Linked DNA regions of Diceros bicornis minor. The protein of the gene in region 2 interacts with the protein of the main gene of each other region in a biochemical or structural test. Links are inferred from orthologs where the notes say so. Each region holds a gene or a part of one and is shown on either strand. Other genes may lie near its edges.

Region 1 (15,929 bases), on a different chromosome or scaffold from region 2:
GGGGCAGGTGAGGAGCCGACATGTGCTGCACCTCATGTCTGGCTCTGCCTGGCACCTGACTGCAGGGTGTAACAGTAGGTGGACCAGTGGAGCGAGTGTGACAGTATGTGGGCGGTGCAGAGGCTGAGAAAGAACCAGATTCTGGATCTGCTTTGAAGGCAGAGCCGGCAGGACTTCCTGAGGGATGGAGGAGGCAAGGTCATGTGGGGGTTCTGGTCTGAGCAACACAAAGGATAGAGCTGCCACCAAATGGGACGGGAAAAGGCAGTGGAGGGGGTCTGAGAGAAGGGGCCGGCTTTCCGTCTGCAATGTTCAGAACATTCTAGGGAGACAGCAAGGAGCAGAGGGGCAATGGATCTGGAGTTCAGGAAGAAGGCCTGGGAGTCACTGTCATGTCAGAGGCCTGAAGCCTGGACACCAGCTGACACCCCAGCTGAGATCCCCAGGGGCTTGAGGACAGACAGGAAAGAGGAGGAGCAGGTGGAAGGAAACCCGAGGGAAAGCAATAACCTCAGAGCAGGGAGGGGCTGCTGTCACCTGTGCCCTGGGCGGCAGCCCGAGAGGCCCTAGCACTCCCCCGGGAGAGTTTCCCAACACCTAAGACCAGCTGCTGCCATGCCCTCTGCCTGAAGCACGCTCCCGCCACCTGCAGTTACCTCCCGCAGTCCCTCAAAGTGCAGGCGGCTTCCTGTCCTCAGCTGATGCACCTGCCCCTCCTGGGACCCACAGCCCCGCACAACCCAACCCCCCAGCACAGTCCAGCCACTGTTGAAGCAAGAGGAAACAGTAGGAGGCATGTAGATGGTAAACGGTGCACACAAAACTCCAGGCAGGGAGGGCTAGAAGGAAGAGCCGAGTTTTTTGAGACAAGAAAAATAATTCCTAGGGACCTAGAAGCTCCCACGTTCCAGGACACCCCATAGGCCAGGGCTGGGGCAAACGCTTTACACACACTGACTCAGTCCATCCTCACAAGAACCATGTGAGAAAGCTTTATACAAGAGGACACCGAGGCACAAAGATGCTAACAACTGGCCCAAAGTTAGAGAGCTGTCACTCAAATAATTCACACCAAACACTCCCAGGCAGATTTCACAGCCGCTGTCAGAGGAGAGCAGGGGCCAGAGGGTGCTGAATGCACGGAGACACAGACAGGGGAGGGGAAGGGGAGCCTGAGGAAAGGACGGCAACCACCGACTCCTCAGATGGCAGAATGAGACCTTCATGGACGAGAAGACAACTGTCGCCCAGAATTCCAAACACAGCAAAAATATCTTTCAGGAATTAGAGAAAAGGCACTCATACACAAAAACTGAGAGTTTGCCGCCAAAGCAAGTTCTAAAGGATGAACCAGAAGCAAAAGCAAAGTGCTCCCAGATGGAAGGTCTGAGACGCAAGGAGGGACAGGAAAAGCAAGGAGCCACTACACACGACCAGCAGCACGGAGGCCGGGAAGAGGTCACATGAGGCAGCACACTCATCGGGAGGAGGGTAAATACGATGACTAACCTTAGGTCCCGATAAGCCTGTGTGTTCAAACTTCTAGGATAACCACCAAGAGAACAGAAATACAATATGTATTTTCCAAACCAGTATGGAACAAAAAATTGAATTAAAAAAACTATATTCAGTCAATCCAAAAGAACGCAAGGAGAGAAAAAGAAAACCAGGACAAATAAAAGCACAAAAGGAAGTGTTTTAAAGAAAAAAAGCGTGTGTAACAATACATATAGAACTATTTAACATGTTCCAGTTAAAAGAAAAAGACTTACACTTTGTCTAAGACTCCTCAGAAGTGACTTTCTAAAAATCCAGCCCTATGCTGCTGACAACAGACCAATCCTAAGCATAAATGTTCAGAAGGACGTAGTCAAAGAACGAAAAAAACCCCACCAGGCAAATACTCCCTCAAAGAAAGCAGGCGTAGCCGCCTGGCGTCACACCAGATAAGAAAGGCTCTGCGCGAGGCCAGCGAGGTCGCTGTTCACAGCCGGCTTACAGGAAGACGCTGCAATTCTAAACGTGGACACACTAACGACTCAGCTTCAAAGAATCCTGAGCAAAGGCTCACAGGGACGCGGAGAAACAGGACTCTCCACCAGCTGGTGGGGACGCTCACGGCCCGCCCAGGACCAGGGCCCACAGGAAGGCGCTGGCAGGGTAAGATGGGTTCATCTGAGAAAGAAGAGAGTGTCAGGGACTCGGACAGCGAACGTATGAAACCCACGGGCTTACAACAGTCTCAGAAAGGAGAAAGCCAAACACAATCCAAAAAGAAAACCAACTCCCTCCTCTGAATGTGGGAAATTAAATTAACCAAGCATTTATCTTGCCTTTCCCGTACAAACTACTTCAGGGCAGCCAGACAGCTCTGGTTGTGGAGAAAGCGCATCTTGATGAACAGCCCCAGTTAATAAATGTAGAACGAGTGAGAACACACAAATATCACCCTCTGCCACCCCTAATGAAGTCCCTGGTTCAGCAACAATTATCAACAAGCCAAGGCTGATGAGGATCTGGACAGTCACGGGCCACCAGCACCACCCACAGATCGCCCACAGGGCTCAAGACGGAAAAGGCAGCCTAAAAAGGCAGGGCCTCGCTGACTGCCCCAGAACTTGCAGATCAACCAGCATCTTCAAAAGCGGGACAAGTAGCTGTTATCAGTCTGGGCCCCCAACAGCCTGGACCACCCATCAGCCTGGATCCCCCATCGGCCTGGGGCCCCACCAGTCTGGACTCAGTGGGACACACTCACACATCTATGAAGGAAGCTTGCCAAAAAAGTTGAAGCTGCCCCCGACTAAGCCTCGACTGCCGTCCCCTCGAGCTGACTGCGCCGCTGTGGTTTAAAGCAGCATGTCCTGCAAACCTCCCAGCGTTCTAACTTGAAGGCAGGAGGCCCCCACAATTACTCCTTGTAGGTGCCCACTGGGGCCTCTGTAATATTTTGTGGACTGGACAGAAACACTGGATAGAAAACGGTCGTCATTACAAAAACACTAGCGTTGATAAAGGGGAGCAAACACAGCTCAGGGCTGGGGCATGCCTCAAGGGCCACCCAGGAAAACCTATCCTGCGGCTGTAAACGCCACATCTCCTGAAATTTAAGCAAAGAACCATATTAGCTCTGCGGAAGAAAGAGCAAACGGAAGGCACGGAGTCGGAGTAGCTAGTTTCCCACTTTTCCTCATCACGCCCACCTCAAGAGCCCCCTCAGGCGCCCTGCTCAAGGACAAAGGAATCTCCCCAGCCCTGTCAGATTGTCCTTCCTCCTCCAGCTTCCCAGGAGCTCTGCCTGTCACCGCTTTATCACCAGCGGGGGGCAATGGTCAGACTTCAGAGTCGCCTGAGGGAGCAAGCCTAAGTCCAGGCTCCGGGCTCCCTGGCTGAACGCCAACCTGTGCGGGCAGGGACCGGCCCGAAGGACGGCACGGGGCTAACACAGGAGTGCTGCCCGCCAGGACCTAGCACAGTGAGCACTTGCCAAGCGCCACCTTCACCAGCACCAGCTGGGATCGCAGCGTCTTCCTGTTTACAAGCCAAGCGCCCTGCTCATCCCTGAACCTCGCTGGCACCGAGCACACAACGCAGAGTGGGGGCTCAATCAGTATCAAGCCAAAGCACGCTGGAAAAGGAAGAGCTGTCCAGATGCTAATACCTGGGAAGGGTCCTTACAAGTACTGGTTAACGAGAGGGTTGCAGGCTGGGCGGGAGAGGTGGAAAGTAAAGAGGGTGTGCCAGGCAAAAACGTTTGAAAAACAATTTACACTGTAGTGACCTGATAACACTCAAGGGCCAAATCCATTTGCCAGCCGTCTAGAACAGCACCCGGGCCACACTGGCTGCTCCCTCACACACCAGCACAGGCACTGCCACTCAGGACCCTTCCTCGCCTTCCAGAGCCCGCCACACCCCGGCTCGTCAAGCAGGCCTCTCCCTCTCCATCTCCCAGACCGGCCCAGTTCTGCTTTCAGTGCTCCCCTCTCCCACCCACCCCACAACTCCTGCTCCTCCCTCCAAGAACCTTACTCACTCCGACCCCCACCCAGGGGAGGCCACTGCTGACGCCCAACTCGAGTTAAGATCCACAGACCTGGGTGTGCCCATCACCGCATGGCTCATCCGTGTGTTTCAGGTGCTAGGCATTCCCGTGCCACGCTGTAAGAACCCGACGGCAGGCACCACACCCGGTCCTTCACAGGACTGCACTGCCCAATATACTCATCAGGACCACTGGCAGAATGAGCACGTCACAAGTCCTCCAGTGGCACTCAAGACCCCAGCCACTGAGGACACCTTTCTGGAGCCCCCAGCAGCTCTGGCCCAGACCCAGCGTTACTGCCGTGGACAGGTCACGGAGGCGCCCCAGAACCCCCGCTGGTCCACGTGTGCTGCACACCAATGCACATGGACCACACGAGGCGCTGCAACAGAAAACCCGGGAAGCACCAGACACATGGACCGTCAGCACTCTGGCGGCACGGGGCCCCGGTGGGACTCCCTCTGACGCTCCACACTCTCACGGCGGTCACAGAGCAGAGGTCTCCCTCAGGACAGGACAAGCTGACCTTTACTGAGTGCTCCCTTCGTGCAGACACTGAGCCCCGCATGGCGTGTTGATTCAGCCAGTCCCACCCACCAGCGAGGCCCCGGACCAGGAGGCTGAGGACACGTGACAGGCCTGGCCGGGCGGGGCTGCCTGACCACTAGGCCCATGGCTTCCCCGGGGCTGAGGAGGGAGCTGCGTGCTCAGTGCCCTCGCTTCTCTGAGCAGCCTGCAGTGTAGAAGGAAACGCTGCTGGCAGTCCCTGCTCTAGTTCCCCGTGACAGAGTGAGGACGGAGAGACGGGAATCTCTCTAGGACTCTGGACGCTTCCACACCGAGCCCGACAAGAAGTGTGGGTCAGGTCCAATTCAGAGCCCTCAGGACGAGCGTCTGGGCCCAGAGGGGCCCCTCCCAAACCCGGGACTTCCTGCACACTCAGGAGAAACGTCCTGTGGCGCGGATTCCTCCCCAGCCGGAGAGACACAGCAGGATCCTCAACACCCGGCCTCGAGGGAGGGTGAGGAGCGCTGGTGACCCGGACCTCCCGAGTGAGGGCGCTGATACTGTCCATCAGAAGAACCTTTCTCCCTACTCAAAAGGACCAGAATGTTCCTCTGCTGCACGTTTTGAGCCTCTGTTGATAAGAACCTCACTGCTCATGACAACCCGACCCAGCCCAGTGTGAAGGAGCTGCTGGGGGCCACTCCCCCGGAGCCTGCTGAGCGGGTCCACACCCGTCCTCCTGCCACGGCACAGTCAGCACTGAGCCGCATGGAAGCCCCGGGATGAGAGAGCTGGGGGTCAGAGGGCACTCCCGGGTTCTCGGCTCCCATCCTTTCATTTGCAAATGAAAACGCTGAGGGTTTGAGCAGTGGCCACTAACCCGGGACACAGCTGGGCCTCTGAGCCTCATTCTGCCCGGAGGAAGAGAGGGCGTCTGGGGACCCAAGAGACCATCGGGGTTCAGGTCCTCCTCTGTAAGGGCACAGTCTAGGAGCAACGTGCCTCCTCCATCTGCGGGACTGACTCCTGTGGGGGGCCTCCTCCACCTGGGGACTATCCGGGGTGCAGGGGGCCTCCTCCATCCTGGGACCCACCCAGAGTACGCGGATCTTTTCTACAAGGCGACCCACTCGGGGTGCGAGATCCTCTTCTGTTGGCGGACCCACCCTGGTGGGTGGCCTCCTCCATCCGGGGATCGTCCGAGGTGCGAGGACCTTCTCCGACGGGAGACCCACCCTGGTAGGGGGCCTCGTCCATCCGGGTACCCACCCAGGCTGCGAGATCCTCTTCTATCGGGGGACCCACCCTGGTGGAGGGCCTCCTCCATCCGGGGACCGCCCAGGTTGCGGGGACCTTCTCTAACGGGGGGACCCACCCTGGCGGGCGGGCCTCCTCCATCCGGGGTGTGGGGGCTCCTCCAACGGGGACCGACTCGGCCCGGCCGCCTCCCCTCGCTCGCCCCGAGCCCGCAGTCGGCCTCCCGGTGCGCCCCGGAGGCCGCGAGCCCGCCCGCCGCCGCAGGCCGCCTCCCACCCGGAGCTCACCGGGCCGCGCTGCGTGCTGACGGTGGTCGCCATGGCGCTGCGCCGGCCCCGCCGAGAGCTGCCGCGCCCGCGACCCACGGCGCCGAGCCGACGGTTGCGCCCGCGAGGCCGCCGCCGCCGCCGCCACAGTCAGCTGACGTCGGCCCCGCCCCCGCGCCGTCCGCACGCCCTTTCCGGCACGCACGCACGCACGCGCGCTCCCGGCGGGCGCCTGCGCAGTCGCTCGCCCCGAGCCGCGGCCCCGGGAAATGGCTCTTGAGCTGGCGGTCTGCGCATGCCCGCCGGCCGCCCGCGCCCGGGGTCAGGGGCCTGGTCCGAGCCCGTCGTCGGCCGGCGGCTCGCGGAGCCCAGCCCTGGGGACGACGGGTCTGCGGCCCTGAGGGGGCGGGCCCCGGGCGGAGGGCCACCGTCCGGAGGCCCCCGGGAAGGAGGGCGGCGACACCACGAGGGGCGGACTGGCGCCCGCGGGTGGATGTGGCTCCTACCCGGGGCACGTGTCACCCCCAGCCCTGGTTTTCCCTGTACCCTCTCCGGGAGCAGCGTTTACGTTTAAGTTTCAGAAACCAGGAGTCAGGGCGCGTGTGGGCTGCAGTTCTCGGAAGACGCAGGGCCTGCGTGTTCCGGGGACACCGGGCGGGCCAGCTAAGCCGGGCTCCCACCCGCGGCAGAACTGAAGCGTGATCATCGACGGTGCTTCTTAGGGGAATTACCGACATAAGCAGAAATAGGGTGCTATTTCTAGAATATGCTGCTTCTCCATGTATGTGTCAGGGATGAGGCCTAAATTGATAATCCCAGCTTCCTTCCTCCACCGTCGTTTCACGGTCCCCTTATTCTCTGCCCAGCCCTCAGCCCTATCTACCCCCAAGCTGCAGGAGATAAGGAATTCCTTTCAAGTCTCCGTAGAGGCTTCCTTATTTTCAGTCAGAGAAAGAGGGGAGAAAGGCCTCCCTTGTGCTGGGCCTGGAGTTCTGCTGTTGAACATGAGCAGTTTCACAAGATCAGACAAGTGACTGTCAGTAGAAAACCACGACCACTCTGTAATCGTGTGAACACAGACAAAAGACAAACACCGCCCAAGCCCAATGACAAACACCTCCCTATCCTGGCTGATTGGCCAGCTGCTGCTTACCAATTACACCTTACCCTCCCTCCAGTCTTCTCTCCTTCTAGATAAGAGTTATTAAGAAGCCTGATCATAGAATTACCCCTGTGTCCAGGCTCCAACTCGTAATGGCACATGTCGGCCTCGGCATTCGTGGAACATCCTAATGTACCAAGAGCCCCAGACGGGTTTTCTGCACAGCTTTGCGTGGGATTCTTTGAGTAATGAAAATAATAAAATAACATTTCTGAGTGCTTCATCTGTGGTAGGTATTGTTCTAAGTGCATTATACGTATTATCTCATTTATTTATTTATTTATTTATTTATTTATTGTGTGTGAGGATGATCAGCCCTGAGCTAACATCTGTTGCCAATCCTCCTCTTTTTGCCGAGGAAGACTGGCCCTGGGCTAACATCTGTGCCCATCTTCCTCTACTTTATATGGGATACTGCCACGGCATGAGTGACAGGCGGTACGTCGGTGCGCGCCCAGGATCTGAACCTGCAACCCCCGGGCTGCCCAAGCAGAGCGAGAGCACGTAACTGCTAGGCCACGGGGCTGGGCCCTGTGTTATCTCATTTAATTTACACAACAATGCTATGGAGTCCATGCTTTTGTTATCTGCGTTATAGATAAGGATGACAGACAGATGAACACCAGCAAGCAATTAATGTCTACAGTGTATAAACACCTCCCATACGTCACAAGGGAAAAGGAGACCAGAAAAGTGAACTGATGTTGAAAATTGGCAGTTCAGGGGCCAGCCCCGTGGCTTAGCGGTTAAGTGCGAGCGTTCCGCTACTGGCGGCCCAGGTTCGGATCCCAGGCGCTCACTGACGCACCGCTTGTCCGGCCATGCTGAGGCGGCGTCCCACATAAAGCAACTAGACAGATGTGCGACTATGATGTGCAACTATCTACTGGGGCTTTGGGGAGAAAAGGAGAAAAAAAAAAAAAAGGAAAATTGGCAGTTCAAGGAGGGGAAGCCCAGATGCTTGACAAGTATATGAAGGGGTGCTGGAACTCGTGAAGAATAAGAGAAATAAAACAGCAACTAGGTACCACTTTTCATCCATCAGAACAGTAAAAACTAGGAAGGGTGGGACATCAGGTCTAGGTGAGAACTGAAGCGATGGGAAGCTCTTGTGTCGCTGGTAGGCCTGCAGACTGGAGGAGGCTCTCCAAGAAGCAATGCAGCCGTGCTTAGCAAACTACATGTGCTCCATGAGCTCTCTCCTGAGAGATAGGCTGGAAACATCCTCACACTGATCCACAAGGGAACGCAGTCAAGGCTGTGTGTTGCACGGTTGTTTGTGTAGCAGAAGTTGGTAGTCTAATTAGTCATCTTTGCAGGAATGAATAAATAAAGTGCGATGGGTATACACTGTGGAATACTACGCAATGGGGAGAAACAGTAAGTAGATGTTTGCAGAACAACTTGTACACGTTATTCGAATCCACACAAAATATATTAAGCAGCCGTTTTCAAGACACTGGACATCCGGCAATGAAGGTCAGCGGTCCCTGTGAGACAGGAAACAAATGAGGTAAGCCCTAGGGCTTCCTCTGTGTACAGCCAGGAGAGAGTTTCCAGGCCGCTGTGCAGGGAGGGGGAACTGAGGCCAAGACCAGTGGTCTCCCTGAGCCGAGGCTTGGCTGAGACGTCAAGGAGACTTGGAAGGCAGCGTTGGCGGGGCGGAGTACCAGAGGGGAGAGAGTGGCACAGAGAAAGGGCAACGGTGTCCGCAGGGGCTCCCCCTGGAGCCTGCGGCTGAGCACAGATCAGCGAACACCGTAAAGTGATAAAACTGCCCAAGGCTGGGGAAAGAACCCCTTGAAAGAATTACAGAAGTAATACCACTAGCCCACACAGGGCCAGTGGTAGCTCCCGTTCCCACCACTCATAGTAAAAAGGCACATGACCCACGGGACGCTGAGTAGAATACTCGAAGCTTTGCCCAAACGCTGCCAAGATGAAGGGGTCATCTTACAGCGACGCAGGGATAAACCTATCAAATGGACGTAAAGACCCTAAAAGTTTATACGTCTGGAATACTTGGAGCAAAAACTGACAGAACTGCAAGGAGAAACAGACAAGTACACGACTGTAGTTGGAGATTTCAACACCCTTCTCTCAACAGTCGATAGAACAAATAGAAACTGAGCAGGGTATAAAAGACTGAACAACACTATAAACCACTTGACCTGATTGGTATTTATAGAAAACTCCATCCAATAACAGCAGAATACACATTCTTAAGTGTACACTGAACATTTACCAAGAAAGACCATATTCTGGGCCAAAAAACAGTCTAAAATGATTCAAATCGTACAAAGTATGTTCTCTGACCAAAATGGAATTAAATTAGAAATCAGTAATAAAGATCAACAAATCAATAATCAATAATAAAGGTGCCTGGGAAATCTCCAAAATATTTGGAAACTAAATAACACACAACTAAATAACCCATATAACAAAGAAACCAAAAGGAAAATAAGACCATATTTTTGAACTGAAGACACATCGTGTTTTGTGGGGGTGCAGCAAAGCAGTAGGTAGGGGCCCCAGGCCGGTGTTAGACAAGAGGGAAAGCCTCAAGTCACTGACATCAGCCATCATCTTGTAGACTCGAGCAAAAGAAGAGCAAATTAAATTCTAAGTAAGCAGAAAACAAGGAGGAAAGAAAGGTCATTGAGGAAATCAGTGAAATAAAAAACAGAAGAACAGAGAAAATTGTTGAAAACAAAAGCTCATTCTTTTAGAAGATCAATACAATTGATAAACCTCTGGGCAGACTGATCAGGAAAAAAAGAAGACACAAATCACCAATACGAGGAGAGAGAAAGTTGGCATCACTACAGATTCCACAGATATTAAAAGAATAGCAAGGGAGTGTTATGAACAGCTTCACTTAAATGAAATGAAATGCAGTGAAATAGACAAATTCCTTGCAAGGCACGAATTAGCAAAGTTCAATCACGAAGAAATTGATAACCCGAATAGTCCTTTACCTATTAAAGAAGGTAAAAACCTTTCCACAAAGAAAACTCCAGGCTCAAATGGCTTCACTGGTGAATTCTACAAATATTTGAGGAAGAAATAACATCAATCCTACACCAGCTCTTCCAGAAAATAGAAGAGGAGGGAATACACTCCAACTCATTCTGTGAGGCCAACATTATGCTGGTACCAAAACCAGACAAAGACATTACAAGAAAAGAAAACTGCCAACCAGCATTCCTCATGAGCCACAGCACAAAATTCTTAACAAAACTTTTGCCAAATAGAATTCATCAATATATAGAAAGAGTAATACCTCATGACAACATAGCATTTATTTCAGGAATGCAAGGGTGGTTTGACACTTGAAAATCATCATCCAATGTAATTTGTACATTAACAGAGTAAAAAAGAAAAACAAGATGACCTTCTGAAGAGAGGCAGAAAAGCGTTCAACAAAATCCAAGCTCCATCCTAGGTATTAACTTTCTGCGGAATAGGAAGGGGAAGGGAGCTCCTTCAATTCGATACAGCATATCTACCAAAAACATGCAGCCAACGCTTGATGGTGAAAGACTGAATGTTTCCTGTAAGATCAGGAACAAGGCAAGGATGTTCTCGCTCACTACTTCTATTCAACGTTGTAATGGAGACTGTAGCCAGGGCAATCAGGCAGGAAAAAGAAATGAAAGGCGTCCCAGTTAAAAATAACAAGTTAAACCTTATTTAGTCACAGACAAAATGATTGTCTTTGTGGAAAATCCCACAAAATCTACAAAATAGCTAGTAGAATTAATTAGTGAGTTTGGAAGTTTGCAGAATTTAAGGGAAGTAAACACAAATCTATTGTATTTCCACATACTAGCAATGAACCATCAGAAATTGAAATAAAAAACAATACCATTTACAATAGCATCAAAAAAATCAAATACTTGGGGGTAAATCCCGTGGATTCATGGTGTAGTTGAGTCCAACTGTGTCCCGACTGATTTTCTGCCGACTGCATAGCCCATTTCTTAGAGAGGGTTGTTGAAGTCTCCATCTCTAATTGTGGATTCGCCTGTTTCTCTTGCAGTTCTGTCAGTTTTTGCCTCACATATTTTGACACTTTGTTGTTAGGTGCATACACGTTCAGGATCATTATGTCTTCTTGGAGAAGTGACCCCTTTATCATTACATGATGCCCCTCTTCTTCCCTGATAACTTTCCTTGCTCTGAAGTCTTCTCTGTCTGAAATTAATATAGCTACTCCTGCTTTCTTCCGATTAGTATTAGCATGATACATATTTCTCCATCCATTTCAAAATGGGTCCTTTGCCCTCCCTCTGCCAGAAGCACAGCGGATTTCTCTCCGATATTTGCTGTGAGAACCTGATGGAGCTCCCGGAGGTAAATCTCACAATGTCGTGGGGCTCCTATGACGGGGTCCCCCCGGAGTTTTTGTCTCTCGGGCTTGTCCCCACCGAGCCTCCAGCTGCTCAGCAATTACAGTTCAGGTTTCCTACCAGCACTGGTTCCCGTGGAGACAGCTGCTCCAGGGAGCCCTGACTCCCTGTGCTCACCTGTCTCTCTCTCCAACTTGGGGGCAGCAGCTTGCCCTGTGACCTCACTTGTCCTACGGATCAAAGAAGGTTGTTGATTTTTGTTTTGTTCAGTTTTCCGTGGGTTTTTTTTGGTGAGGAAGATCAGCCCTGAGCTAACATCTGTGCCCATCTTCCTCCATTTTGTATGTGGGACGCCACCACAGCATGGCTAGATGAGCAGTGTGTAGGTCCGTGCCCAGGATCTGAACCCGCAAACTCTGGGCTGCCAAAGTGGAGGGTGTGAACTTAACCACTACACCACCAGGCTGCCCCTGTTTTGTTCAGTTTTTCACTTGTTGTTTGGACGGGTGGCGACGTTCAAGCTTCTTACATGCCGAACCAGAAACTACAAATTGGTTAATTAATTTTTGACAAAAATGCCAATGCAATTCACTGGAGAAAGGATAGTCTTTTCACAAAAGTGTAGGATATCCATATACAATTAGGTTTCCATATGCAAAAACGTTAACCTTGATCCATATCTTGCATCATATAGAAAAATTAACTAAGAATGAATCACGGATCTGTATGTAAAATGTAAAAATATAAATCTTCCTCAAGAAAACAGGAGAAAATCTTTGTAATCTTGACTTAGGTAAGGATTTCTTAGCTACAACAGCGAAAGCCCAATCCATGAGAGAAAAAAAATGATAAGTTATACCTCATTAAATTTAGTAGATTTTGCTCTTCGAAAGACACTGTTAAGGAAATAAAAAGACAAGCCATAGACCAAGAGAAAATACCTGTGAATCATATATCTGATAAAGGATTTGTATGCAGGATATGTCAAGAACCCTTCAAACTCAGTAACAAGAAAACAAACCACCCAATTAAAAATGGGCAAAAGATTTGAATAGATACCTCATCAAAGAAGATATACGGACGGCAAATAAGCACGTTAAAAGATGTCCAACATATTAGGCTTTAGGGAAATGCAAATTAAAACCGCAATGAGATGCCACTACACACGATTAGGATGCTGAAATGAAAAAGACCGACCTTACCAAGTACCAGTGAGGAAGTGGGAGAGCTGGGACCCTCATGCACTGCTGGCAAGATGGTGAAATGGTGCGACCCCTCTGGAAGGCAGGTTAGCAGTTTCTCAAAAGGTTTTGATTCCTTGTTATTGAGTTCCTTAAGAGAATAAACGTATGCCTGCCAAATGATTCCACTCCTGGGTCTTTCCCTAAGACAATGAAAGCACACGTCCTACACAGAATGCTCACAGCGGCTTGAATGGTAATGATCTGACACTGGAGACCACTCGAATGTCCATCAACCTGTGCACAGACAGATGGGGGTATATCCACCCAACGGGATGCTACCCAGCGACAGAAGGAATGGGGTCTTGCCACAGACAACAACACGCATGAATCTCAAAATAATTTTGCTGAGTGAAAGAAGCCAGACGTAAAGGAGTGCGTACTGTATGGTTCCACATGCTTAAAATTCTGGAAAATGCAAGCTGACCTGTGACGTCATAAAGGGGATCCGTGAGGAGGGGCGGGCAGAGAGAGGGTGGAGAGAGATGTGGGGGAGGACGACAAAGGGGCACAGGAAACTTTTGGGGGGTGACACATTCATTATCTTGATTGTGGCGATGCTTTCCGGGTCATTTGCAAAAGTCAAAACTGACCACTTTAAACGTGTGCAGCTCAGTGTATGTGAGTTATATCTCCGTGAAGAGGTTTAAAGAAACACAGAACACCACATGCTTCACAAAGGCACGTGCACAGTAGGGGGTGTGTTCCCCGTGCTCCAAACAAGCTTAGCAGGTACATCAGGGCTTTGGGGAGTCCACGAGGGACGAGAGATGGAAGTACAGACAGGAGATGGCCACTCGCCAGTGATGGGGAAAGTGAGAAGGATGACCGACCCCGCTCTGCACCTGGGACCCCCAGAGGTTACAGCACAAAACCCCACGAATCCACGGGTGGGACAAGGAAACAGAGAACCAGGGAGAGGGGACAGGAGCTAGGTTCTGGGAAGGCTGCCCCAAACTTGAAAGGTTCAATCTCTTATAAAGAAACAAAGATCTACAGCAGGCGTGGGGAACACGGCGGCGGCCAGCCCGGTCACCGGGAGCTCCTTGTGCCACCGTCTGTCTCCTACTATTTCACTGAAAAAGGAGACAAACCGGTGCTGACCCGGGCTCTGCACCACCCGCTGCATGGCCTGGCGCCAATCGGGGTCGGGGGGGCTCTTCAGACCTCGATTTTTCACCCGTGAAGACGAGAGAATATCTACCCACGGGACCCGTAAAGGTCACACACCAGAAGTCATTTTGGTCCGGCGTCTTAGGAGACCCTGGCACGTGGTCAGGAAATGTGAGCCCTGGGATTATCATGAAACTGGTGAGGAGAACCAGGACCCACCAAGTGGACAGAGGGCAGCCGACTACCCGGGATTCCGGACGGGCTCACCCTTGCCCTGCAGACAGACCCACGCATGGATAATCCCATGTCCATCAGATCATCGTCGTTATGGCCAGTCGGCCCCTTTGGGGACACGCTTGGGATGGGGGGCTCCCATCACACATGTTTATTCTCACAGTCCTGGAGGCCAGAGTCCGACATCCAGGTGTCGCAGGGCCCTGCTCCCTCCAGAGGCTCCAGCGGAGTGTCTTTCCTGCCTCTTCCAGCTTTTGGGGGCTCGAAGCGTTCCTGAGCTTGTGGCCACATCACCCCAACCTCTGCCTCATCTTCACGTGGCCTCCTTCTCTCTCTCTGTCTCTTCTGTCTCTTCCCTGGCACACATTGGGCCCACCCAGGTCATCCAGGACGCCCTCCTCCTGACATCCTTAACTTAGCTACAGCTGCAAAGACCCTTTTCCCAAATAAGGTCACCCACAGGCTCTGGGGGTTAGGCCTTGGACGCATATTTTGGGACCACCAATAACCTGCCACACATCCCAGAGGTGGGGCACCCTGACCCCAAGCACCTCGAGTCCTTGGGTCAGGGTTTCTGACACCTGGAAACACACACACACACACACACACACACACACCACACACGTTTTCCCTTGGAAATGTCACACTGTCCCTAAGTGCACTCCTGCTCAGCCTTGCTGGACAGGGAGCCCCTCAGCCCTTGGGTCATCTGAGCTCTGACAGCTGTCACTCTGCCTGCATTGACCTTAAGGTTTAACTCCGTCTCTCTCGTCTCACACATGCCCTGATTCTGGGCTCCCTGCGTCCTGTAGCCTTGGCTGGGACATAGGAGGGGGTGGTTTGAGGTGGGCACGGGGTCCTGAGTCGGATTGGACACTCTGGGTTCACGTGTGGGGGGCGTCTGGGGGGCCATGAGGTCTGGAGTAACAGAAGACCCGCCTGCAGACAGGCTGGTCAGGTCAGACCCTGGGAGTGGGGGCGGGGCCCGGGGACACCAAGAAACTGACAGTGAGAGACAGCTTTCCACGGGACGTAAGAGGCCGGGCTCCTGGGAAGCACAGGGCAGGACGCCTCTCTGCTTTCTGCACAATGGAGGAGAGGGCATCTTAGCATCACTGCTGCCCTGGGAAAGCCTGGGCCCCCGAGAGGAAAGTGCCAGGAGCAGCCTCTAAACGCCAGCCAGCACCTTGGGCTGAGCCCCCTGCAGAGTGGGAAACGCCGTGCCGCGCCAGCATTCAGGTCCTTCTGGAAGCAGAATACCTTCACCCACCCCCCCGACATCACCAAGGTCTTTCCCCGTTCCAGCATCAGTTCCAAATCCGAATCTACATCGGGAGTAGGTAAGACTCGGGGTTCTCGGGGTGAGACAACCGTCCCGGGGCAACCCTCTCCCCCAGCTGTGAACCTGTGAGGCCAGACACCACGTCATGTGCTTCCAAGAAGCGGTGGTGGGACGGGCATGGGACAGACCCTCCATTCCAAGAGGAAGAAAGTGGAAAGAAGCAAAGGGCACAGGCCCCAGCAGTCCTAAACCCTGCAGGGCAAATTCCATCAGATGTTAAGGCTGGAGAAGAATCCTCTTTGCCTCCATGCTCTGTCCTCCAGGCCCACTGGAGTGGCTCCCCCTCTGGAACTGGGGAGATGGACTCGCCACTGGGGGAGCCAGCTGGCCAGCTCGGCATCCGGCACAGCGCTTCCCGTGGCTGTGGGTCCGCTGCCCTCGCCTGCATCGCGGTGGGAGTCGGGCTCAGT
Region 2 (14,951 bases):
CCTAAGTGCTGAAACAGAGGCTTGAATTTGGTGGTGTGAGCTCAAGGTCTGCTCTCTTAACCCCTTGCTGTACTGCTCCCCTTGAAAGGGAGAGAGGGGAGACATTGGACAAGGAGGTTGAAGGGAAGGAAGAGTCAACGATGGCAAGGCCTTGATACTGGGTGGTTGTGGGAATGGTGGTGACTTCAGCAGAGAGAGGAATGCTAGGAGGAGGGGGAGGGTGTTTCTCAATACAGCATGTTGAGATTGAGAAGTATCCAGAATGAGAGACCTAGCAGGCACCCAGAAATGCAGTCTTGGAGATGAAGATGTTGGTAATGAGAGTAATAATTACTGATAGTTTTTGAGCACTTACCATGTACCAGGCACCATCCCAAGTACAGTCGTGCACTGCATGGTGACATTTTGGTCCACAACAGACCACATATACGACGGTGGTTCAATAAGCTTGTACCATCTAGCCTAGGTGTGTAGTAGGCTATACCATCTATGTTTGTGTAATTATACTCTGATGTTCGCACAATGCCGAAATGGCCTAATGCCGAATTTCTCAGAACATATCCCTGTCGTTAAGCGACGCGTGACTCTACCTTATATCTATTATCTCACTTAATCCCCTCCGTGCTACAGATGCTATTAGTACTCTATTTTACAGGCACAGCATAGTTAGCGGCTTCCCCAGTACAAAAACAGTGAGTGGGATAGTCAGATTCTGGACCCAGCAGTCCTGAGCCCAGAGCTCATTCTCAGAACGACTTGCTGTGCTGCCTCCCTAGATGATGTATTCTCACGGTACATCTAGTTGAAGCAGATTACACAAGAGCCGGGCAGCAGTATTTGCAGCAAGCCATCTTATTTCTTATCTCTTTGAATCACAGAGATGTAGACAGTATGAATTGTACAAGATGTTGAAATTAACCAAATTCACTTCTTTTTGAGGGTCAGTAACCCAGAAGAGTGATATCATCAGCTATCAAAAGCCACATATATGGAGATATATGGAGAAGTATGTGTGTGTTTATATTAAATGTTAATGTATAGGGCTGTAGAATTCTTGTAGTTATCATATTTGAGCTATATTTGTGGAGTTCATAAGAAAAATACTTTTGCATACATGATCTCCACAAATCTTCCCAGCAGCTCTGTGGAGGAGGTAAGACATTTTTTACTATTTCTAAGTATAGGCATTTTTTTTACTATTCCTAAGTGACTAACCCAAGGTTGCATAGAGGGTAAGATGGATTAGGAATATAGAAAGGAAACCTGGGAGTGTATTGTAAAAAGTTTTCTTTTTAAACAACTTACAGAGTTATCAAAGCAGATACCTTCCATTTTTGCTGCAAGTTTCATAGAACTGCCTAAGACTTAAAGAACCCTGTAAGGAAATCACCCAGAACATGGAGAGCACCCAGAGTGTGATTCGAGTTACAAGTTCCTCCCCTTTAATGCTCTCCCTTTCAGGGCATGGTGGCCGTGTCTGGCAGTTTGTCCGTGCTTCTGGATTCCATCATCTGTGCGCTTGGCCCCTTGGCGTGTCTGACCACACAACTACCTGAATTGAATGGCTGTCCCAAACAGGTCTTGGTGAGTTTTCCTTGGATTTTTTGGGCTAAACTCCTTGGGAGGCAGAGAGGCACTGCCTGAATGAGCTCTATCAGGCACAAGCTCCTAAGGCTTCCTGGCCTTCCTTTGCATATCGGCCCATGGAACACGATACTGTATTGTTGAGTGTGTGCCATTGCTTTGGTGAAACGGGAAGACATGCCATGTCCTAAAATAGTCCTTTGAAGAGAAGCATGCCTGCCCTAGAGGGCTGCAACTCCTGTGTTTCCTGTTTGCTCTTCCTCACGCAGAGAAAGTACAGGAGTCTTCTGCCTCCTTTCTACCATGATTAATGGGAGCAGTCAGTAGAAAAGCTCCTGGCATGACGGACAACAGGATGCCATCTTCATTCTCCCCTGTTGTCTCTAACTCTGGTTTTTCTTTCTCATCTCTCTGCCTTGAACAAAGAAATGTGCCTCGGGGAACTAAGGTAAAGTACTCTTCAGTTGAACCTTTTTCCCTTGTTTTGCAGTCAAACACATTAGACAACATTGCTTACATCATGCCTGGACTGTGACAGCAGAGAATCCTGGGACAGAAACCTTACCGACCCCATTGCTGGTTTGTGTGTATATGACTGTTCCAGATCCCCTCACTGGCCTCTGGGTGTAGGTTTTAAATTTTTATATATATACATATATATATATATAAAATGTACAATATTTACATAGGACTGTAACTACTTTGCTTTTAATAATTTTATGAAATGGCAGAGGTTTAGCCAAGAGGAAACCTTGGCATGAATGTGGGCTTGGGATTCTTTTTTCTCCTGTGGTGGATAAATCTGCCTTAAAAATCAATGTAACTTGGGGACTGGAGGCTTGTTCTGGGTGCCAAGTGCATCTCTTTATGGACAGCTAAAATGTAATTTTTTTCCAAACTCAGTTGTACCTCCAGACCCATCACTGACCATTTGCCTTACCTGTCTTACAGTCTGAAACGTAGTAGGAAGGATTATGGGAAGATGCCAGTTGACTGAAAGTACAAAGCCTTTCAACTTGAAGTGACCTAGGTGGGAGGTGATAAAATTGTTCCCATCTTACAGTTAGTGCAATGGCTTCGGTGAACTTAGTAGGGGGTTCATTCCAATTCCTGCTATACAGGTGTCCGTGTCTCAAAATTTATTGTAATCATTGGTACTGTTGGTGGCCTTGGTAAGGGCCAAGGAGTTATGTGAGTCCTGGCGGCATAAAACACCTCGGAGAGGTAAAGCTGTCAATGCCGCCAGTTGAACTGCATATATAGTGAGCTGACCCAGAATATTTGATCTGCAGAACTAAGAGCTGGTATCGTCCATTGGCAGCATTAGCTTAGCCACCGAGTCCTCAGAGGTTCTGCTGCTTAGTTGCTTGGTGGTTGTGGAAGAGGAACTTTACCCAGCATGATTCTTGGGTTCATCTTGTTGGCTCCCCTGGTGGGCAGATACACAGTGTTCTGCATTCCACACATAAGTGAATTGCAAAAAAGTACTCGATTCTCATGTAGATTTATTTATGTGCGCGTGTGAATGTGTGTTTTAATTATGTGTATTTAACTCTTTAAAATCTCTTAGATTTTAATTTATCCTGTAAATTTCTGTATATATAATTTAATAACAAAAGCCTCCACCAGCAACAGCATGTGGAAGATACAGGTTTGTCATTTCTTCCTTCCTTCCTTCCTCTGGTCTCCTCTGAAAACTCCAAATCATCTACATTTGAAGGTATCGTGCCTCAAAAAGGAATCATTATGTCAGGATTCTAATTCTTTATAATTCAATAATGTCAAGAAAGTAAAATAAAAAGGAAACTTACCATTCCCAGCTGCCCTTATTTCCAAAGAACCAGACTTTTGCTTCCCAGTTTCAAAGAAGACTTCAGGGTTGTTTTTAAATTAGGTGTGAGATTCCCTGCCAAAACCAAGCTCGGAGGTAACCGTGCTTTCTTCCCCGGGTCTAGACCAGCCACTGCAGCATCAGAGTAGATCTTTGAGGACAGTGCGGCCAACCTGCATCCTATTTAATTCCTTCCCTTTCCCCACCAGTGTGGTCACCGGGCTGTGTTTCTTAAAGGTATTCTGGCTGCTGAATGCCTTTCTCAGCTCAGAGCAGTTCTGAGATTTAATTGGAGAAACAGAAAGAAACAGGAACGTTTGGGAACCAAAATCAAGAAGAGCAGAAATCTTGGTTTGATTTCGTGTGTGAGAACCTGTACCACCCCTCTCTGTACCCATGGAAGTTTCCTGTTTGACACGGGGATCAAGGGGGGCCTTGAAGGCATGGATTAGTACAGAAAGAAGTCAGTCCTACCATTGTCATTTGCACACATTAATGGAATCCTGATGAGGACCTGCTTTTTGTTTGTTTTCCTTTAAAATCCAACCCTGTTGTATTTGTATTTAAAATTTGTACACATTTGTATAATAATCTGTATCTTGTGGTATTTGGTACTATTAGAGGAAAAACTTTGGATTCAGACCTTCTTGCAGTTTTTATATCATTGTTTTATTTTGTTTTTTAAATAAATTCTAGCAGTTTGATCCAAATCCCATTACAGTTGTATAAAGAAATAAAATTTTGTACTTATATTATTAAAAATCACATTTTTATTATTTGTAGTCCAGTCTCAGCTATCTTTTCCCTGCTGCTAACCAAAAAAGCTACAAAATTATAAAACCTGTTTTTCACACGATATCCTACAATAATTTTCTTAAAAAGAAAAATCCATCTGGAATAGAGGTCAAGTTTCTGATCTTAGCCATTTTCCTAGCACACATCTTGCTCTGTTTCTATTAACTGTTACATTGTGGAGTCTCTCGTGTTCTCTCTTTTACAAATTGTAAACCCGGTAGCTCTGATAAGTGCAGCTCTATTCGCTGGCAAATGAAATTGTATGTACATTGCAGTGTTGGCCTAACTCAAGAAAATGTCTATCAGTCTTATATAAGGGTTGCATCTGAATCACGTGCTTGAATATATTTCATACTGTTTCAGTACTGTCCTGACTTAGTGAGTGATGTTGGTTAAGTCACTTAATCTTTATAGGCATCCAAAGTCCCATCTGTAAAACAGTGTTAATGTCACTTTCCTGATCCAAGCCTGCAGCCAGCCAGTCTGACATGAATATTTAATAGTATTGTGAACATTTAATATATAGAGATTTGACCTTTCGAGGTAAAAATTTCAATGCAAACACAATATGTTAATAGTTATAAATAGTGAGACATTATGATTGATTAAAAGGATAACTTCTTATGGAGAGGCAGCAAGGAAGAGACCACCATATTACTGAATGACTATTATAGAGTGATGTGCATATTTTATCTCACTTAATCCTCCGAAAAGCCTTATGAGTATTATCCCCCTTTACAAATAAGGAGACAGATGTAGAGAAGCACTTTTCCTAAGTTTAGACAGCTAGTAAATGGCAAAGCCAGATAAGCACACTGGTACAGCTGACCCCAAAGCCTAGGCCCTCTCCTACCCCAAGCCACTTTCACACTTAAATTGTGTGTGTAATTCATCAGAATCCTTCTCTGTTATCTATAGTCCTGAGCAAATGTGATTGTAGGGAAACTATCTGAGACCTTTTCATTGTTCCACTGTTGTTTTGTCCTAGCTGGCTTTCACTATACAGGCCTCACTTTTCTTGTCATACTATTGTCTTTAAACTTTGGAGGCAAAGTATCTTGATTTTTGTCCAAAAGTACTTAAAGGATGTAATAGATTACATTACATTTATGCAATATGTCAATCTTAAGGAACTTAAACATTTTTACCCTCAGGAAGGCATTTGATATTAATATTGCTAAAACACTTAAAAGGAAAAATTAAGACAGACTTTTTACTAAATGAGTTTGTTCCTTGTTTGCAAACACTTTTAAAACATAGTTTTAATCAGTTTTGTACTACACTTAATATTTGCCATTTACATTCCTGTCATGTTGACAAAATCCACACACTTCCTTTGCTAATTTAATAGCTATATAATATTCTGTTTGCACGGAGTTAATATGACTGCACTCTGTGTTTGGGGATATGTAGGTTGTTCCTGCTTTTTTACCATGAAGGATAAAATTTATGTCTGTTTTATTCTTGGCAGTAAAGCCAAGATCTTCTGCCCATAATCACTTTAAACCAGAGTGATCCAAGAAGGCAAGAACTTCTGGTAAATCACCACCCAACATGGGAATGTTCAAGATTGTTAATGGAAGAATCCAAAAGAAATTCGTGCTAAATATACTCCATACAACCAAGCCATATGCTTAAATGAAGAAAAACATGGAAGGTACCTGACATGAAGTTCATCTTAAATATACATCCCCCTTTATAGTCCAAATACCATTACTGAAAGGTAAATTATTTAAATTTTCATGTTAGTCACTGCGCTAGACAACAGTGGTGAGCAAAACACAGTATCCCAGCCCTCACAGAGCATCCAGAGAGGGAAGGCGTTTATTAAAAGGTCTCATGAGCATTATTAAAACACTTCGGAGGGGGCCAGCCTGGTGGCGTAGTGGTTAAGTTCGCGAGCTCCGCTTCAGCAGTGGGTTAGGATCCTAGGCATAGACCTACGCACCACTTATCAAGCCATGCTGTGGCAGGCATCCCACATGTAAAATAGAGGAAGATGGACATGGATGTTAGCTCAGGACCAATCTTCCTCAGCAAAAAGAGGAGGATCAGCAACAGATGTTAGCTCAGGCCTAACTTTCCTCACCAAAAAAAAAACAAACACTTCAGAGCTCAGGAGTACATGACTTCCATAAAGTTTTTCTATTGTACAGTAAGGATGTCAGCCCCTATGGCTGCTCGAACAGGTTAACATACAAAAGTGATTGAAGTTCTAATGTAGATTTTCCATCCTAATTTTGTGCAGAGTCAATTTACCAGCCTTGCAAATTTAAAAATCACAAGAATCATGATCAATAAATAGTAAAGCACCCTGCAGTAGCCCAAACTACCAAAGCAGTGGTTATTGTATCTTTTGGAATGCATGTCATTGGAAGGAAAAAACATAACCAATAGATCAGATATCTAACGTGTAGGTGACATATCCAAAACATGGTACACAGTCAGAAAGGCCGAAGAAGATATTCGAATTACAAAGCTGGGAAAGGCCTTTGAGCTTTTTGGAGTCCACTGCTGTACTTTAGGGACCCAGAACCTCCCTGAAGTTAAATTATATCTCTGCCTTTTTTCTTCAGAAGGGCTCATGGCTTTCTTCAAATTCTCAAAGGAGACTGTTACCTAAAAAGAGGAAGGTTACGAGTCCCTGATCTAATTCCAGCATCCAGAGAAAATGGAAACTCGCTGTTTGAATCACACAGTAAATTAACAGCAGAGATGGGTCCCAGGCCCCACTCGTGCTTTCTGCCACCCTGGGCGGTAGCCCATCCCTAGCTGTAATTCATGGAGTTGGCTCTCAGTGGCAAGAGATCGCAAACCCCTGGCCCTGGCCTCCGATTTGAGGTAAGCGAATCTGGGCAGCAAGCAGGGCACATGTTGCGTCAGGGAGACCTCGACATCAGATAGGGAAAGTCCCATCAGGACAGGGCGACAACAGGCCAGAGAGGCTGTCAACCCCCGCGGCGGGTATGTAGTCACAGTGTGGTCGGAAGGGCTAAGGGCCGAGTGAGAGCTGTAGTCTAAGCGTAACCTTGCCCAAGTCACTTCCCTGCTCCCACACCCAGTTTTCCAGATGCGTTAAGATGCTTAGGTCACGCCCCTAAACCTTAAATAAACGTCGAGGGCGTGGCTTAGAGAGGTCCACGCCCCCAAGTCCGCCACCGCCCCACGTCGTGCGTGACGTCCGCCGACGCCGAGTAAGCCGCAGTGACGTCATCGCCCTCCCCCCTCGGGACGCCCAACCCTTCACGTCAGGGGCGGGGCCTGAGGCCGCGCTCCACACTCCCTCTGCCCCGCCCCCACGGGCGCCTCCTCGCGGACCGTCCGGCACGTCACGTGACGGGTCGGCAGCGCCGGCGGTTGCTGTCAGCTGATTCCCCGGGTTGGTGGCAGCCGCAGCGCAGCAGAGGCGATGGAGTTTCTCCTGGGGAACCCGTTCAGCTCTCCGGTGGGACAGCGCATCGGTGAGTCTCCGGAGCCCCGCCCAGCCCCGCCGCAGGGCTCTGCTTCCGGCCCCGACCCCCCGGGGCGCCTCCGGGTCCCCGGTCACACACCGGAGGGAGGCGGGGAGGGGAACGAGGCCGGCGTGTCTCTCCTGAACCGGCCCCGCCCAGTCTCCCACCTTGATTGACAAACTCCGTGGTCCATTAGGAAGCCTCGACTTGTGATGGATGCTTACGTCAGCCAATAGCTAAAGAGAGAGGGCGGGTTCGGGAGGCCGCGGCTCAGCCAATGTGCGGCTACTGTGGTCCCGACTCCACGGAGAAAGTTTGGGGGGTTGAAGGGTCTGCGCGGTTTTGCAATTCTTGCGCCCCTCGACTGTTCCCCGCGTCGCGCCTCCAGTGCGGGTCGCGCCGCCTGGGGTCTTGCCGTCTCCTTCCTGCTCGCCAGGCTCTCCGCACACGGATACCTGAGAAGGGCTGAACGTCCATTCTCCCAGGACCAGGAGTCCAGGGCTTGGCGTCTGGGCGACGACCTGCGGGGAGGGGCCGGTCAGCCCTGCCTGCCCCGGGCCCGGGCTAGACGCTGGGGAGCCCGCTCGACCAGGCGGCCATGCCTTAGCGACCAGGGTCTCAGGACGTGCTTGCCCTGGCAGTCCTCACCTGCTGGCATGAGACCCACCGCCTAGCGTCGCAGACTCTCTGGGCTGGAGGTGATCTTAGAAGCCACCTGCTTCGGCCTCCCTCATTTCCCGGTAGATGATCAGCCAAGGGCTCTGGCTGGAGACACAGGCTTACTGGGAGCCCAGGTCTCCTGACTCTCTTGCCGCCTGTTGACGGGAGACCTACAAGTCTTGTGATGTTGCCTCACTGTAGAGCTCAGGCTTCCTCATCCGTAGTTAGGGGATAATAATGGTCCCTACCTCCGTGGGGTTGTTGTGAAGATTAAACTCGTTAATAAATGTAAAGTACTTAGAACAGTGACTGGCACATGGCCAGTGCTATATAAAAGAAAGTCATAGTATTTATTATCGTTGTTCCTGATATACCACCAAGCGAGGGTCGGAAATCCCTGGAAATGGCTGGGCGGTAGGTCTCATGGGTGCTCATTCCTGCCCACCAACACGGGGAGGACGCACAGGCCCTGGCCCAAACAGCTAACACTTCTCCAGGGACGGTCTGGGTGTGCCTCCTTCTCCCATGAGGAAACCACTGGCAGTACTGTGAAATTCTCTCTTCATCTTTTTGATGGTTTTTAGCCTTAAGTCCAGACTGGGAAAATTGTATCTTTTAGACAAAATATTTTTTCCATTCTTACCGTCTTGGAAGCCAAACCTTGCTCAAGTCTGCGGACCCAGCTCTGTGGTGTAATGTCCAACATGACTGTTTGTGGCTCTTCTGAGGTTTTGTAATCACCTCTCTCCAAGAAGGGGGTGGCAGTCAAGGATTTACACACCAGGAAGCTCCTGGACCAGAGAGCGGAAGCTGCCCTCTCAGGACCACCGTTCCGGGACCTCCCCCACAAGACGCTACACACACACACACCTCCGGGACCTCCCCCACAAGACACTATACACACACCAATGAGTCATTGTTTTGGAGCTGAAAACAGAAAGCAGCTCTCCTCTCGTCTTTATTTCTCCAGCTACAGATAGCACTGCTTTCATCACATGCCAAGTTTGAGACTTCCTACTTAAAAATAAAAAAAAAAATCTGGCCTTCAAAGTCAGCCACAGGGCTGGCCCCGTGGCTTAGCGGTTAGGTGCGCACGCTCAGCTGCTGGCGGCCCGGGTTTGGATCCCGGGCGCGCACCGACGCACCGCTTCTCTGGCCATGCCGAGGCCGCGTCCCACATGCAGCAACTGGAAGGATGTGCAGCTATGACATACAACTATCTACTGGGGCTTTGGGGGAAAAAAATAAATAAATAAAATTTAAAAAAAAAAAAAGTCAGCCACATATTCCTGAGGATTTCTAGAAAAGTTCACGTGGACTCTGGGCTTTAGCTGATCGGAGAAAACAGCTTCTCTTCTACCCTGAAGGGTTTCGAGTCTTGGGCAAGAGGTACTCTGTCGAGAGAGAATACTACTAAATCATAGCACCTCAGAGCCCAAACCGCCTTTTACTGCCGGAAGGGTCCTTCCCCTGGGGACCTTCGAACCCGGGGCTCTCAAGTGTCCCCTGGAAGACTTGTTAAAGCGCAGGTGGCTGGCCCCCACCCCTAGAGTTTCTGACCCTCTACGTCTGGGGTGGGGCCCTAGAATTTGCATTTCTAGCAAATTCCCAGGTGATGCTAAAGCCACTGGATTGGAGGGCCAGCCCTGTGGCTTAGCGGTTGAGTGCGCGCGCTCCGCTGCTGGCAGCCCGGGTTCGGATCCCGGGCGCGCACCGCTTCTCCGGCCATGCTGAGGCCGCGTCCCACATACAGCAACTAGAAGGATGTGCAGCTACGACGTACAACTATCTACTGGGGCTTTGGGGGGAAAAATAAATAAATAAAATCTTTAAAAAAAAAAAAAAAAGCCCCTGGATTGGAAACCACATATTGCAAACCTCTGTTCTGGTCCACTCCCTTCATTTTACACAAGAGGAAACCGAGGCCCAGGGAGGGGAAGGTGGAGACTGACTCACCCCAGACCCCAGTGAATTGATAGTGAAGCTGAGATGAACTCCCCCAGAACCAGTGAAACTTGAGCCAAAGCTGAAGAGGCTCTAAAAGTAGAATTAAATGAAGAATAGCTGCGATCTGAGTTAATGCCCTCAGTAGTCTGTGTTTTTCTTGTGGATAAAGAGGCGGAAGTACTGCTGATTGGCTGTGATTACTGATGACCCACTGTTAGCCGCTTGTATTTCTGTCAGCTGCAGGAGTAACATAATCTCTTCTCAAGCCTGCCACCTCCATCCCCTTGTTGAGAGGAGAGCCCTGTAGAATTGGCATCCCTGAGCACAGTGGGTTCTACTGGTGCTCATCAGGGGTGTCACTTGACTCACAAGTGCGCACACGCTTGGACACACACACACACACCCCTTTGTGCTTGCTGCACCCTCTGCCTGGAATGCTGTCCTGTGTGCTTCCTTCAAAGTCGCAGGCATCGTCACCTCCTCCATCTCCTCCCTGAGGGGTACCCTGACCCCTTCCCTGACCCCTTCCAATCCAGCCATTGCTTCTGTGTTCTCCCTTCAGCCAGCTCCTCAGGCTTCCTCACTGTCTGCCTTTGGGCTCGGAGCCTCCACTTCCTCCTGGGTGGAATGTGGTTATGACAGCATCCGCCTGTCAGGGTGGTTGTGAGGATGAAGTGAGACGCTCCCTGGAGAGTGCCTGGCACGCCTCGAGTGTGCGGGAAACATCCGCTTTGCTGTCATCATCGTCTTTTTTATTATTTCCACTGGCCTCACACGCGTGGAGCACTGTCCCATTCTGTTCGTAGTTGTGCATGTGTGTCTCCTTGAGAGCAGGGAATGTACCTTATTTATCAGGACCCTTGGCACCTAGCATGGCCCCTGGCGTGTAATAGGGTAGAAAGGAGAAAAGGAAAGTAACATTTGTGGGCAAATACCATGTGCTAGGCACCGTGCTAGTATGCTAGGTATTAATCTTCACAGTGACCCCACAAGGTTTTGCTATTTTTTCTCATTTTACCAAAAGTAAGTCTGAGGGAAGGTCCAAGGTTTCCCAGCTAATCAGGGTCAGAACGCAGACCCGGGTTTCTCTGGCTCGGAGCCCAGGTCCCCCCCTGCACCCTCAACACATTGCCTCTGGCTGATCAGTTCTTACTTGGAGTTTACATTAGTCCAACGCTCCGAGGTCCACAGTTGCTGTTCTACCCAGAGACTAGCTTTTCTGGTTATGACGCACACGTGGGTCTGTGTGCATTTCCAGATCACTCACCCTTATCTTTTAGTAGGAGAGCTTCCCAAGGGCAGCAGCCTGTGGCAGAAAGGATCCCAGATCATTAGAACTAGGTGGTGTTGACACAGCCCTCTTCTTCCAAGAACTTCAAAACCCTTTCCAGTATCCTCCAAGGACAGAACTTCCTGGCTACATTTTGTAGACAGATGTCAGAAGGCACCCCAAGAATCCCATTTTGAATTTCTGGCTGTCAGCTTGGGCACTTTGAGCCAGAGACCCAGCTGACTTATTAAAGCAAGCTGCAACCAGCAGACACTGTAAATATGGGCAGTCCCTGGGGACCAGCCCCTAGTAGTTGGATCTAAGGGGAGAAGAGTGCAGAGCCTACAGCTGAGCTCTGGGGTAGACGGGAGAAGGGGAAAGTGGATGGAGAGAGCTCTCCTTGGACCCATAAAGGGCAGGGGAGCCACAGGAAGGGATAGGAGGTGAGAGACCACAGATGCTCGTAAGGGAGAACACCCTGGGCCCTCTGGGTGCCATTTTGGGTGTGATAAGCTGGAAGCCAGACTTGGACACTCAAGCGATGTTGTTGAGCAGGCAGTGGGCTGGGAGGCAGGAGACCTGGGTCCAGCTCCGGTTCTGCTCCTGCCTGTGTCACACTCCCTCCATCGCCCATCCCCTTATCTGTAACGTAGAAGTGCTTCCGTTCTCCCTCTATTTCCCAGAGGATTGATGAGGAACAACTGAGGGGGCAGATGAGGACAAGGAAGGGTTGATACTAGAGGGAAGAAGGAGACTGATGGCCGTTGTGGAGCAATAATAGAACTGATTCCACGAGGCTCAAGGGCAGACTGTGATGTTACAGGAGAAGGAGCTCAGTGCCAGCATAAATAGCTGTCCCTAGCACCTTTCAAAGATGGACCGGCTGCCTTGTTTGGTACTGAGCTCCCCGCCACTGGAGGTGTAGGCAGAGGCCAGAGGGGAGGGAGGCTGTAAAGAAGATTCCTGCTGTCAGGGTGGACTAGACCAGGCTCTGCCAACGTTTTCTACTGTAAAGGGCCAGAAAGTAAATATTTCCAGTTTTGTGGGCCTTATGGTCTCTGTTGCAGCTACTCAGCTCTGCCGTTATAGCACAAAAGCAGACATGAATGGGCGTGACTATGTTCCAATCAAACTTTATGAACACTGAAATTTGAATTGCATGTAATTTTCACATCATGAAATATGATTCTTTGGGGTTTTTTTCCCAACCATTTAAAAATCTGAAAACCATTCTTAGTTCTCGGGCCATATAAACAAAAACAGACTGAGATGGGCAAGTGGGTTCATAGTTTGCTGACCTCTGGGTCAGAGCTACTGGCCAGAGGCAGAGTGATGGAGGGCGGTGTTCTTCCAGGTGGGTCCCAGAACACCCACATCAGAGATGCTTGAGGGCACTCCTGCCGTGGGGCCACTGAGTCAGGACCTCTACCGTTTCTCACAGCATGGCCTGGGGAGCCCTCACGTCTTGGAGCTCCAGTCCCCTGCTCTGTAAGTGCTGGAGCCAGGTTAGAGCCCAGGTCTCTGTCCTCAGGATAACAGGGAGTGATGTCCAGGAAGGGCTTTGTGTCAACTGGCCGCGCGGTACCCACAGCCGTCCAGGATGAGCTCCTGAGTCAGACCAGATCGTCTGAGTCCTGGTTCGGCCTTCACTGGCTTTGTTTCCCAGGGCAAGTTACTTAACCCGTCTGTTCTTCAGTTTCCTGTCTGTAAAATAAGGACGATAATAGCACCTATCAGTTGGGATTGCTGTGTTTTCGTGTCGTAAAGACCGTAAAGGTCTGCCTTATTGTGCCTGCCAGACAGTAAGCATCCATAATTGTTAGCTATTGTGATTTTTTCACAGGCGTTGCCATCATTGCTGGGGTGTAGTCTAAGTTAGTGGCAGAGCAAAGGTGCCAACCCAGGGCTCTGGCTCCAGTGCAGCATCTGTGTTGGTCTTGGTGTCACTGGGAATGAGCAGTCACTGGCTGGGTGGCAGTCACATTCACAGACAGGTCAGGTTTCAGGCTGTGCGGGGGAGCTGATTCTCACTTGGGAATTAAAGCCTTTGTCTGACCCCACGGATGGAGCTGGTGAATAGGTTTTGTTCCCTCACTGAGCTCAAAGAAATAAGAGTCAAGTCCCGGATTTCCACTCCTCTGGTTTTGGAAAAAAACAAAAACCCTCAGTGTCTTCTAAGTAGCTTGGGGCCATCACCCTGTGAGAAGCAGGGGGACTCAGGACAAGTTAACTCTTTACCTCCTTACCAAGGAGGCGGATCTAGGCTACGGTCCCCAGACTTCCGTCCTTCATGCGCCACCTTTAGTTTTATTTTCATAGTGTTTTCCTTTTATGGGCTCACCTTTTTTAATTTGACCTCATCCTGTGTAATTATATCCCTGAAATCATGACTGATGAGCTAGTTCATGTTTGTTTTTCTATTCTACATTAAAGAAATATGCAGGTCTAAAAACGTCTTTAAGTTGGCCCATGAGCCCACCTCCCGTGATCCTGGGTAGCACGTTTTGGTCACGTGGATGTAAGTGGTCTGAATAGGGACAGGGCTTGGACCCTGCATCAGAAGACCTGGGTTCAAGTGCCAGCTCCACCCCTTTTCAGCTGTGACCCCCATGCCATGCCAGACATGGGAAACTTAGCAGTTGATGGAGCACCAAAAAGTGCCATGGACAGCCAGGCTGCTGTGCAAGACCCGGGGAGGGCCTGGGCTTCACTCCTGATGGGGGAGGTGGAGAAGGGGGGGAAGCAGGAGGGGAGAGGAGCCAGCCAGACCATGTGAGGCTGAGACCAGCAGAATTTAAGCACAGACAGAGGTGTCCCTGTTCGACTGGAACTTGTTTGCACTGATGCAGTATAAACGCCGGGGGGGTTAACTTTATGTGTCAACTTGGCTGGGCCATGGTACCCAGATATTTGGTCAGACATTATTCTAGATGTTTCTGTAAGGTATTTTTTAGGTGAGATTAACATTTAAATCAGTGGACTTTGAGTAGAGCAGATTACCCTCCATAAAGTGGGTAGGCCTTGTCCAGTCAGTTGAAGGCCTGAATAGAAGAAAGACTGGCCTCCCCAGGGGCGGAAATCCTGCCTGCGGATGACCTCTGGACTTGAGCTGCCTCTGTGCTCTGGATCTCCAGCCTGCTGGCCTACCCTGCGGGTTTTGGACTTGCCAAGTCCCCACCATCCCATGAGCCAATCCCTTCAAATAAATCTCTCTTGGTAGAGTGTGTGAGTTGTCAGTAACATTTTTTACATTCACACGTGGGGGGAGGAAAAAAGAATGTCCTGTCCACCTGGGCCAGCCACTTCAGGCATCTGCTTTCGCAGCCTCACTCCCTCTTACCTGGATGGTTTTTACAAACCTTTCTTTGTCTAACTGGAATTTTCTTCAGTTAGATACTATAGTTAGTTACCT

What was found.
Region 1: the proteins of TOM1 (region 2) and TOLLIP form a complex in vitro, tested with the Homo sapiens proteins (3 studies listed by BioGRID and IntAct, with this or other methods). The link is inferred for Diceros bicornis minor from reciprocal best matches to the Homo sapiens genes TOM1 and TOLLIP.

What each region holds. Positions count from the first base shown.
Region 1 is NC_080770.1:696,647-712,575, reverse strand, and holds the start of TOLLIP (toll-interacting protein), read right to left. Parts: upstream 6,179-15,929; 5' UTR 6,130-6,178; coding exon 6,097-6,129; intron 1-6,096. UniProt on the Homo sapiens protein: Component of the signaling pathway of IL-1 and Toll-like receptors. Inhibits cell activation by microbial products. Recruits IRAK1 to the IL-1 receptor complex. Inhibits IRAK1 phosphorylation and kinase activity.
Region 2 is NC_080764.1:14,276,548-14,291,498, reverse strand, and holds the start of TOM1 (target of Myb1 membrane trafficking protein), read left to right. Parts: upstream 1-7,537; 5' UTR 7,538-7,619; coding exon 7,620-7,671; intron 7,672-14,951. Other genes in the region: HMGXB4 (HMG domain-containing protein 4), read left to right, coding at 1,462-1,584, 2,075-2,119.